Linked DNA regions of Daphnia pulex. The main gene of each other region encodes a partner of the protein of the gene in region 3 in a complex. Links are inferred from orthologs where the notes say so. Each region holds a gene or a part of one and is shown on either strand. Other genes may lie near its edges. The genes, in order: splicing factor U2AF 50 kDa subunit-like, splicing factor 45-like and splicing factor 3B subunit 1-like.

What was found.
Region 1: the proteins of splicing factor 3B subunit 1-like (region 3) and splicing factor U2AF 50 kDa subunit-like are in contact, whole or in part, in a crystal structure (PDB 7SN6), measured with the Homo sapiens proteins. The link is inferred for Daphnia pulex from reciprocal best matches to the Homo sapiens genes SF3B1 and U2AF2. Residues at the interface, in NP_036565.2 of Homo sapiens: Ser336, Arg337, Trp338, Asp339, Thr341, Pro342, Ala343, Met346; in NP_009210.1 of Homo sapiens: Met383, Glu388, Glu394, Glu397, Ile398, Asp401, Val402, Glu405, Gln447, Gly448, Leu449, Thr450, Gly451, Arg452, Lys453, Phe454, Ala455, Val459.
Region 2: the proteins of splicing factor 3B subunit 1-like (region 3) and splicing factor 45-like are in contact, whole or in part, in a crystal structure (PDB 2PEH), measured with the Homo sapiens proteins. The link is inferred for Daphnia pulex from reciprocal best matches to the Homo sapiens genes SF3B1 and RBM17. Residues at the interface, in NP_036565.2 of Homo sapiens: Arg334, Ser336, Arg337, Trp338, Asp339, Glu340, Thr341, Pro342; in NP_001139019.1 of Homo sapiens: Leu309, Met312, Val313, Asp319, Asp321, Leu322, Glu325, Thr326, Glu329, Leu372, Arg375, Tyr376, Phe377, Gly378, Gly379, Val382.

What each region holds. Positions count from the first base shown.
Region 1 is NC_060018.1:5,213,278-5,217,029, reverse strand, and holds the start of splicing factor U2AF 50 kDa subunit-like, read left to right. Parts: upstream 1-1,212; 5' UTR 1,213-1,365; coding exon 1,366-1,393; intron 1,394-1,681; coding exon 1,682-1,981; intron 1,982-2,045; coding exon 2,046-2,308; intron 2,309-2,384; coding exon 2,385-2,607; intron 2,608-2,674; coding exon 2,675-2,748; intron 2,749-3,031; coding exon 3,032-3,154; intron 3,155-3,217; coding exon 3,218-3,376; intron 3,377-3,442; coding exon 3,443-3,742; 3' UTR 3,743-3,752. Other genes in the region: RNA-binding protein 28-like, read right to left, coding at 1-18, 81-529, 590-758, 833-946. UniProt on the Homo sapiens protein: Plays a role in pre-mRNA splicing and 3'-end processing. By recruiting PRPF19 and the PRP19C/Prp19 complex/NTC/Nineteen complex to the RNA polymerase II C-terminal domain (CTD), and thereby pre-mRNA, may couple transcription to splicing.
Region 2 is NC_060018.1:8,645,132-8,648,857, reverse strand, and holds splicing factor 45-like, read right to left. Parts: upstream 2,569-3,726; 5' UTR 2,368-2,568; coding exon 2,254-2,367; intron 2,190-2,253; coding exon 1,949-2,189; intron 1,874-1,948; coding exon 1,780-1,873; intron 1,703-1,779; coding exon 1,279-1,702; intron 1,205-1,278; coding exon 1,030-1,204; intron 962-1,029; coding exon 864-961; 3' UTR 830-863; exon of another isoform or gene 741-829; 3' UTR 548-740; downstream 1-547. Other genes in the region: cyclin-G-associated kinase-like, read right to left, coding at 3,518-3,622, 3,696-3,726. UniProt on the Homo sapiens protein: Splice factor that binds to the single-stranded 3'AG at the exon/intron border and promotes its utilization in the second catalytic step. Involved in the regulation of alternative splicing and the utilization of cryptic splice sites.
Region 3 is NC_060027.1:4,651,469-4,655,169, reverse strand, and holds the start of splicing factor 3B subunit 1-like, read left to right. Parts: upstream 1-851; 5' UTR 852-886; coding exon 887-977; intron 978-1,186; coding exon 1,187-1,561; intron 1,562-2,106; coding exon 2,107-2,186; intron 2,187-2,253; coding exon 2,254-2,925; intron 2,926-2,989; coding exon 2,990-3,283; intron 3,284-3,346; coding exon 3,347-3,475; intron 3,476-3,539; coding exon 3,540-3,701. Other genes in the region: GPI inositol-deacylase-like, read right to left, coding at 1-78, 140-280. UniProt on the Homo sapiens protein: Component of the 17S U2 SnRNP complex of the spliceosome, a large ribonucleoprotein complex that removes introns from transcribed pre-mRNAs.

The DNA.
Region 1 (3,752 bases), on a different chromosome or scaffold from region 3:
TTGAGCCGATTCCGAATCCTAAAAATGGTTAATATGAAAAGTTATTAGTATGTATTTATTTTTGCAATAATGCAACTTACTCTAAATTTTACGAATCCAGTGCCCTTGGGTCTCTCCATAATTTTATCCATACACAACAATGCATAGTGAACACTGCCAAATTTTTCCATGAAATTTTTCAACGAGTCTTTTGTGGTTGAAAAGTCCAAATTTCTGATAAAAAGAGTCTTTCCTTCTGCTACATCACTCTTCTTTTCTATTTCAGAATTATCACCCTTCCAAGCTTCTTCTTTTTTTGGACTTTCTTCTTCACCGGAACCATTCTCAACTTCAGAATCAGAAGCTTCTCCATCTTGTTCTTCTTCATCATTATCTTCTTCTTCATCATTACTTTCTTCATCATCAGATTCTTCATCTTTTCTGTCATTTTTCTTCTCTGGCGGCTCAATGTTTGGAACTTCGTCAGTTTTATTATTTAAAGTGGCATACTGTTGTTTTGGTATGGCCCAATCAATAGCTATTTGCCTTCCTACAAAAAAAAAACAATTGATAAGCTATTATCAAATTTAAAATGTTAAAATTTTCTTACCAAGAAATGGTTTTGCATTGCATTCTTTGATTGCTGTAGCCGCACATGGAACTGTTTTAAATTGAACAAAACCACAGCCAACTAAAGTGCCACCAGGTTTCTTTAATAATTTCACATCCTCAATTTCTCCATATTTCTCAAACCAGTTTTTAACAGCTTCTTCTGTTGCCTGTTAATAAATTAAATCAAGTACTAACTTACTAACATACTAAAAGTAGCATAAATTAAAGTTTCTTGGCTTACTTTGAAAGATAAATTGCGAATAATTATTCTTCCTCTTTTATTGGGTGGTCTCTTCTTTGATGTGTTTGCTTTAGTAACAATAGAAGCTTCTTTTTTAACTGAAGAGTGATTCATCTTTTAAATCTATCCAAACACGTGCTTGTCTGTATAACTGATGTAGCTAGTCAAGCAGACGATTATATGTGTCAAAATGTAGCATAGACTGTTGTCAATTGGCAAAATGACAACTAATGAGGATTAACATGAATACAACAATTACTCAGAAAATAAATTTTATGTGGCTATTATTTTATGAAATATTTAATCTTACCTTTCAGTATATTAATCAAAACCAAGTTTGAAATTGTAAACATTAAATCGACGTTGCCGGTACAAGGAGTCAATCGAACCTCGTCTCCGACGCCATTCGCCCATTCCCAGCCTTTAATCAAACCGGCTTACAGTCTTAGTGAAAATTTGGACAATAATTAACTGTTTTCCTCTGCTGTGTTTCTTCTTATTGTCGTACAAAAGCTAACAATCACACGTTAATCATGGGAGAAGATAAAGATGATCGTAAAGGTATGTTTTAACTTCTCTAAACTACTTCTGTCAATATCAACTATAATGCTTTTGTAATGTTCTTAAGAGTCTGTGATGCTTAAGAAAGAAATGTTTAACACACATTACTTACAAGTAATGGGTGTTTAATGATCTGGTTGTATTTTACACATAATTTCATAACTTTTAATGGTTTATAATGTTGGCTCGTGGTTTTGCTTTTGTATGGAAATATTAGTCATAGTAGTTAGAAGGTAGTCAAGCAAGTAAACTTACTTGTTTGATTTATTAACATTTGAAATACTTTAGTTGACAGGGAGAGAGATCGTGACCGTTCCAGAGATAAGGAAAAGGACAAGGAAAGAGACAAGGATAGGGAAAGAGATAGAGACAGGGATCGTAGACGGTCCAGGTCTCGTGACAGAAAGAGAAGGTCTAAATCTAAGGAAAAGGAGAAGGAGAAGAAGCGTAGCAAGTCCCGTGAACGTGAACGCAAAAGGAGTCGTTCTCCTGTTAAAAAGCAACGCCGAAGAAAGCCGTCTATTTACTGGGATATTCCTCCTATTGGTTTCGAACACATCACACCCATGCAATACAAAGCAATGCAAGGTATAAATCCTTATTCAAGTTTCAATTTTAATGTGCTAATTATTATTTTCTTGAATCTACGTAGCTGCCGGACAAATTCCAGCTAACATAATGACGGAAGTAGCCCCACAAGTCCAAGTACCAGTAGTGGGTAACACAATCACTCGTCAAGCCAGGAGACTCTATGTTGGGAATATTCCTTTTGGAGTTTCTGATGTACGCGCAGCGGAGGAGGAAATGATGGATTTCTTCAATCAACAGATGCATTTGTCTGGTCTGTCTCAAGCTCCAGGTCATCCCATTTTAGCTTGTCAAATTAATCTGGATAAGAATTTTGCATTCTTGGAGGTTTGTTGGATTGTTTTCACGTGAAACCTAGTATTTTAGTGGAATATTTAAATAATTTTGCTCTTTTACTTTTCAGTTTCGGTCAATTGATGAAACTTCCCAGGCCATGGCTTTTGACGGTATTAACTTTAAAGGTCAAACTCTAAAAATCCGCAGACCCCATGATTATCATCCAACACCTGGTGGTGGCGGCGGAGGAGGAGGAGGTGGTGGTCCCGAAACAACGCCCGGCATGAGTTCTGGTGGTATAACTGAAAAGAGGGCTGGAGGTGGAGGTGGTGGAGGAGGAGGAGGCACAAGTAAGGACGACTTAAAGTGATTCTTTTATGGCAAATTTCTTTAATGTATTCATTGTTTTTTGCTCAGTGAGCACGATCGTCCCGGATACACCCCACAAATTGTTCATCGGTGGACTTCCAAATTACTTAAACGAAGAACAAGTAAGTTACCTGTTTCGTCGATGTGACTGTAAAATGTGTTTTCGATTGGGAGAAGAAAAAAGAGTGAGAGAAATGGGATTTGTGAGCGTCTAGTTGAAGCAAAATCGATTCTGATGAATGTCTTCTTCTTTCGTTCTCCCTAAACAGTGGTCACGTGATCCTTAAAACTTCCTACCCATTCCAACCACACAACCTCGATCCATCTCCCCACCGTCGATCCCTAGATTGTTATTTTTGAAGGTCGACTCTAGGCACGCACGCAAATTGTCTCATTCGAATTTAGGTAAAGGAATTGCTGATGTCTTTTGGACAACTTCGAGCCTTTAACTTAGTTAAAGATACGGCTACTGGCTTATCCAAGGGATACGCTTTCTGCGAGTATGCCGACGTCACCGTCACCGATCAAGTAAAGTAGACCATGATAATATTCCTTGAAAAACCATTACATCTAATTTTATTTTTCTTTCAGGCTATTTCCGGATTGAACGGTATGCAGTTGGGAGACAAAAAGATCATCATCCAGCGAGCCAGTGTTGGAGCCAAAAACGCCGCTGCTTACGCCCAGATGCCAGTCCAGATTCAAGTACCAGGATTCAATCTTGCTGCCGGTCCTGGCCAACCGACAGAGGTACAAAAATCAACCTTGTCTAATGCGACAATTTTTAATTTCATTTTGGTCTTTTCTTTTGCGTAGGTTCTATGTCTGCTGAACATGGTGACACCCGAGGAATTGAGGGACGACGAGGAATATGAGGAAATTGTGGACGATATTCGTGAGGAATGCAATCGTCATGGAGCCGTACGTTCAGTCGAAATTCCCAGGCCGTTGGAGGGTGTCGATGATGTACCGGGAGTTGGCAAGGTCTTCGTCGAGTTTATTTCGGTGAGCGACTGCGTTAAAGCCCAGCAGGCGCTGACAGGTCGCAAGTTCGCCAATCGTATCGTCGTTACGTCATTTTACGAACCGGAACGCTATCACCGACGGGACTTCTAAGCCATGACGG
Region 2 (3,726 bases), on a different chromosome or scaffold from region 3:
TTATTGAGCATTTGAGCTATATTAAATGTCAAAATATGAGGTCAATAATAATGGCAATGACAGCTGACCTTGTTCTCGATCATGTTGAGACATGAACGATTCACGAAGAATTCTTTCAACATTATGATATCATAGGAATTTTGAGGCAAGAAGAGGTTCCCACTTTGCGTAGCTATTTCGAAGAACTACATATACTCATGGTTCTTGGAAACCGGATTATACTATTTAAAAAATACGTTAACGTCGATAGATCGTCCCCTATAAAATATTAACCTCATTTTTATATGAAAGTGGTTTAACCTACTGAATGTCACTTAAAAAACACTTAAGAAAAGAACCAATTTTCATGAAATTTTTTATGATTTGGAAACGGGATATATATATGGAAACCTACCGCCAAGTTTCCGAATTCAAATCTATACTTTTTTTATTACTAAATTCTAAGCATCCACTAGAAGTCTATTACTGATTTGCAGCTACGCTTGACAACTCAAATTTTAAAAAGTAGAATCTACCTTTTGATGAAAAATGAATGTAGTCGTGAAAATCAAAGTAAAGTAAATCTATTTTACACTTTGAATGTAGAACCTTGCTTGATCAACACATTTTTGTGCAATTCAATTATTTGTTCTGGTGTGATATTGCGAGGACACGCTAGCTTGTGAAGTTAGAATTTGTTTTGCTTCGTAGTAGTTTAAATTCATCTCTCTTCATCCCTTTTAAGGAATCAATCTTATTTCCTAGAACGAGAGAAAGGTTTTTCGTCCTAAAGGTCAAATGCTTCCAACTTTTGGGAACAACGCCATACCATGTAATTAAATTCAATTACTTTCGATTCGTAAAATTTATTTTTCAATACGTGTTCAATCATTCAGCTCCATCTTGAGAAATCTTTCCACATCATAGAATCCGGCTTTCACCTGCCGACCAGCAAAGAATCGGCCGTTGAGATCAATTACGGCTACAAAAAGAAACGACAGTTAACAATTTTTAACAGACCTGTGTTATTGTTCAACTGTAGTTAATTACCTTTGATGGCAGCTTCCATTCGTTTAAATTCAACAAAAATCCGTACAGCTTCCTCTTCCTCGGCGTTAGGTACCTCGAAAATAACAACTTTATTCACATCCCCGTATTTTGTCTGACATTCCTCGCGTACTTCGGGTTCCAAATCAGAATCCACTTCACCAGGGCCAACCATATTCTAATGAAAGGGGAAACAAACAAACAACAGAATTTGAAATGAGGACCGTGAAAATGATTGACCTATGACATTACCCTCAGATAAATCACTTTTGAAGGATTCTTCATGATATCAGCAATCGTTAATTCCGCTTTGGGAGCAGCTGTTGGCGACACAACAGGTGGCGGAGGAGGCATAATTTCTTTTTCATTGATAATACGTCCACCTCGCTTGCTTGTTTTTTCCACTTGTAAGGCAGCTGCAATACCTTGCTGTTGTCGTCCAAGTCCCTGACCTTCTTTGAATCCATATTTTGCCATGATCTTAGCAGCAACACCAAGAGCTCCAACCCCACTTCCAGTAGAGGAGAGAGAAGGATGAGATGGCGATGAGTTGTCTTGTAATGATGGAGGTGGGGCAATGGCAACTCCACCAGAAGTAGAGGACTTCTTCACCATTGGTTCCTCTTCCTCATCATGTAAACGTCCAGCAAAACCTGATCCTACAGCAGATGAGGACCTAAAACATGAAATGGTTATGTAATCAGTTTCTATCATCACCATATTTATTAGGCAGCTCCCAGTCCCATTATATACCTGTCTCTGGTTTTAATATCTCGATCATCCCTAGGCTTCCTTTTCTTTTCAGCTTCTTCTATTTCAATTTCAATCCCTCGTCGTTCCTTTCTCTCTAAACAAAAAACAAAAAAAAAAACAAAAATTATTGTATTCAGATTTTTCATTTTCTATAAAAGGTGCTGTGTACCCCTAATGATTTTGTCATAGTCAGTAGGATGCAGTGGATCATACTCTAGATTTGGGTCCCATTCCAATTCAGCAAAGAGTGAGGATCTCTCTTGTTTAGGAACAATAGTTGTCAAGAGTTGGGGTGTCTGATGAATCAGATTTTTGGTCATTTCAGGTTCAGTTTTTATCTGTGATTCAGTAGCTGTGAGGCAGGGTGGTATTACAGGATGGATAGCTCTTCGGATACCTTCACGTTTTGGCTAGGAAAAACAAATCTTTCTTCATAATCTATGAGTAACAAATGAAATGTAAATTGTAGGATACCTGTGTAATCATAGCTTTCTTTAAGTGCATCTGCGAATGTAAAAGCTTGATTCCTGACGACCATCCGGTGACAGATTTAGCTTTATTTTCGTCGATATCATCGTAAAGAGACATTTTCACAGCAAAGTAATTTCTTATATCCGTTGAATTAGTTGTCGTTCAAATCGTTTTTAAACAGAGCTCAGGACGCCTTCGCAGTAACATACACAAGAAATAAAAATAGACGACGAATGCAAATTGTACTGTATTTTTTTATGTTTTGATGTATTCATCTCATGAAAGGTGAAGGTGACTACTAAACAGCTACCTAAATCTGCAGTGAGGAACCAGGGGGCAGGGGCATGCCAGGGCCCAGCAGGGCCAGGGCCCAGGGGTGGCCAGGGGTGGCCAGGCACTACAGATACAGCGATACTACCCTGTTTCTACTTATAAATAATTGAATTGTTTTTTTGTCAATTAAACACCTTGCTTTTCGGATACGGAATAGAAAATACGGAGCTTCTCCCAAAAAATTGCCTCCTTGCGCATATCGTTGATTTTTGATTGTTTTGGGACAGGAATATTTTTGGGTCGGCCCTTTTACGAGTTACGACACCTCCAAATGTCGCCACAGTTGTGTGCCGTTAATTGTATGCGTATCTATATTATCGAGCGGACGGACTTGTTATAAGAGGTGTCTGTGACGAAGAATCAGTGACGAGAAAGAATAAAGTTATTTATATCGCAAATTCCAACAATTGGTTTGTGAGAAGTCACTGTTTTTCTGCAATAAAACTCAACGTGGCTACATCTTGCATCTGAACTTTCTGTAGCACCGAACAATAATTATTTTAATACTATTTTTAAATTAACTGAATTTAACCGAATCTTTAACGCTTCTTTTAAGAATCATTAATAATGATGCAGACACGTGTATTACTTCTTGAAAACCGGTAGCTATTAAACTTAAGCCGGGCGGAGATTACCGCCTTCGTTAGAGAAAACGAGACGACTTCTCCGTAGAAGAAACAGAAAGAGAACAATTAAAATCACGGAGAAGGAAAAGAAAGAAGAAAAGCGGCTGAGGAAAAGTTCTAAAAACGTGATGTAAGCTATTGTAGCTGAATTTGAAAGGAAATCTTGGGACGGTAGGGAGAGACATCGATTCCGAGTTACGACTAGATCATGGGCGTTTCGTATGAGTTAACCCAATGCTAGACAATTATAAACACGTAAATAGAACAATCAACGCTCGTAAACTATGAAGAATGGAGGAATGTATCTGTTATCGAAACATATTTTGCTGTGTTACGTCGTTTTCAAATTCAGACCAGGCGTCGTTCAGTTCCATAAAAATCATTTTTGCTATTTTCTCGTTGTCAGTTCCAGACTGTGTGATAATACATTCGAATTAAAGGCAACTTTTCTTACTAAATGTAAATGACGTGATAAATTTTACCAACCTGTTTGTCTGGATGCACTGCCAAGCAAGCC
Region 3 (3,701 bases):
AGCTTGCTCTCCTTCTCCGTAAACAAATAAGTTGTAATTAGGGAATTCAGTTGATGTTGGTTCATTTAATTTGATTTTCTATAATAACAGAATTTTTAAAAATGGCAATCTTTAATAAGGACAGAAGTAATACTCTTACAATATATTGCGGATATTCAAACATGAAGGTCATTTCGCATTTGTTGTCTTCCAATTCGAAAACAAAACGATGAATCCCTCGAATGAAGGAGAACGTGAGAAGGGAGCCAACTAACAGTTTGAGCAAATTGTTTTTCTTCATTTTCACGTAAAATTTATGTGTCTCCCTTCACGACAATACACTTTTCACCAGTAAATAGTTTAAGCAATATTATACCAAGATAAATATATTTTTTGTAAACTATGAAATTAGCTTAAAACTATGACAACAAAAAGGAAAATATTGTCATTTGACATTTCAAAATACTTACTAAGAATGTCGTCTGCACATCCGAATTGCATTGTTGCCAATATGCTGTAGAAATCATTGAAAAATATTTGACTCGTCGATATTCGATAACAACCATGAGTAATAAGGATTAGGAAATCATAATATAGTATGGAAAAAGGCATTTCATGACTCTTACTCGATAGAAATTGCCTTCAACTATTATTTTTCAAGCGTTTAAAGACTCAACTCAAGAGTCAAGAGTCAAGAGAGGCTGACCGGAGCCGCACGTCCGCACCGGCCATTTTATAAATACAGATTTATTATTCTATAAAAAATATTTAATACAGAAACGGAAAAAAACTTTCGTCTACAAATAGAAACTATAGACACACACAATTTGGTGGAATTCGACGATGAAATGTATAATTTGCATTTCTACGCATTTGAGATTTGATTTGACAGCAGCAACAAATCTTCATGCATGATCTGGCAACAAAGTGCGTTGTAAAGAAGAGTGGAGAAGCTCTAAAAATGGACGCGAATAATAAGGCACCGAATACGTACGACGGTAATATTGTTTTTCTATTTACATCATATTGGCAATTATTTCAAAGATAAGATAATTTACAGCTTTTTTTGCTACCCAAATTTTTATCATTGGATTATTTGGTTAACTTATTTACCTCTAGTTGCACATGTGTATAAGTGTCTCATAACAACTCTGAACATGCCATAATATTAACTGTGTTTAACATGTGGTTTGATATGTCTTTCCAGAAATTGCAGCTCAAGTTCAGGAAATCCAGTCAAGGAGCAAGGTAGATATATCTGAAAAAGATCGCATCGGATTTGGCGAATCAGGCATTTTTGATTCAGAAATCTACGGTGAAGTTCAAAGTCGATTTGATGGATATGTAACTTCAATTGCCACAACTGATGAAGTTGAAGAAGAAGATTATGATGGAGCAGTTGCCACTGGAGGCAGGCAAACTTTCACAGCACCAGCTGCGATTCTCAATGAAGTGGCAGGAGAAGACTTTGACCCATTTGCTGAACATCGCAGACCAACTATTGCTGACAGAGAAGATGAATACAGAGCAAAGCGTCGGAAGTTGATTATTTCCCCAGAACGTGTTGATCCATTTGCTGAAGGTAAATTTAATATTTTTTATTCATTTTAGTATACTTGCTTGTTGTAATGCAAAGTGGAACACATTATTCAATTTAATCTTATTTTAGAATTAAGAACATCTGTGATTGTGAAGTAAACTCTTTTTGTTTATCTATATTCTCATGTCGTGACCCAATGGCAAATTAAAAGAGTGCCATAGCAACCAGTTAAGTTAAGAGCTCTTGGAGGTGAGTAATCTAAGGCTCTCAAAGGGGAATTGTTACAAGAAACTATTAAGGATACTAGAAGCCAATATTAACCTAGAACAAGCTACTTAATTATAGGTGGATTATTCACTTGTGGGCCAGGAGCTGATCTGCTCAAATTCCCCTTCCGTAATCATCACCACGTATGTATTTGTAACTTCTTGTGGGCGAAGAAACTGGTTTAAGAGTTTTTTCTACTTCCGTCGCTCACAGGGAGTTTGGGTCTCGACTGCCAATTTTTTCTTTAAATTTCGATTACAAAATCTTCCTTACTTTGAATAATAACCCATTTTCCTTTTTTATATTGCTATTCTGTGCAGGCGGTAAAACCCCAGACGTTGGATCTCGCACTTACGCTCATATTATTCGTGAACAACAGTTGCGCGCAGAAGAGCAAGAGGTAATGACAATGGATAATTTATGGTGTAGTTGAGATTATACATGTAATCATTTGTATTCATTTCTAGGTCCGCCGGAAGCTTGCCGACAAAGCTAAGGATGGTACCTTAAAAGCTGTAACGGTACCATCAAACGGCGAATCAAATGAAGCGCCACGGAAACGTGCAGCCCGTTGGGATCAAACAGGTGAAGGTGACACAGGTCCTGCTGCCACTCCAGTTGCAGCACCAACTGTTCCTACGGTAAAGAAGAAAACCTGGGAAGTGGAAACGCCAGCAGTAGCTCGTTGGGATGAAACTCCTTCTCGCTCCAAAGGCTCTGAAACCCCGGCAGCTGGAGGTGTTACCCCTGGAAGTCGTCTGTGGGATGCTACGCCGGGAAATGACGACTCCCGCAAACGGAATCGCTGGGACGAAACACCGAAAACTGAAAGAGCCGGCGAATTTACTCCTGGTTTTGGTTCTGGTTGGGCTGAGACACCACGGACAGATCGTGGAGGAGACACAATCCAGGAGACACCAACTCCTTCGGCATCGAAACGTCGCAGCCGTTGGGATGAAACACCAGCTAATTCCAGTGCGACACCGTCTGGTGGAATGACTCCGCAAACTCCTTCACTATCTGGAGCTATGACTCCAAGAATGACACCGGGTGGAGCTACTCCAATCGGACAAAAAGCTATGGCCATGGCTACCCCAACTCCAGGACACCTTGTTACCATGACTCCTGAACAACTACAAGTAATCAGTGCATTATCCGTTTTGATGTTCAATATGTAACCCACAATGAAATTTATCGAAATAGGCATACCGATGGGAAAGAGAAATCGACGAAAGAAACCGCCCAATTGGAGATGATGAACTAGACGGGATGTTTCCAGAAGGCTACAAGGTCCTGCCTCCTCCAGCTGGATACATTCCTCTACGTACCCCGGCGCGCAAATTAACTGCAACTCCCACTCCATTAGCTGGGGCCAATTCGGGATTCTACATGCAACAAGAAGATAAAACTGCCTCAAAATACATGGACACACAACCCAAAGGCGGTAACTTGCCCTTTTTGAAGCCAGAAGATGCCCAATATTTTGACAAGCTATTGGTAATTATACTTAACTATTTCTTTTAAGTAAAATTAAAAAGTTTTTACTCTATTATTTTGCAGATTGATGTTGATGAAGATTCATTGAGCCCAGAAGAGCTTAAAGAACGAAAAATCATGACTCTTTTACTTAAAATCAAGAACGGTACCCCACCTATGCGTAAATCTGCATTAAGACAAATCACTGATAAGGTAAACTGATATATATTATTTTAAAGTAATTGTATCTTCAAACTGCGTTTATGTTTTTCAATAGGCTAGAGAATTCGGAGCTGGTCCACTTTTCAATCAGATCCTTCCTTTATTGATGTCTCCTACCCTTGAAGACCAAGAGCGACATTTGCTCGTTAAAGTTATCGATCGCATTCTCTACAAATTGGATGATCTAGTGCGTCCATACGTCCACAAAATCCTTGTC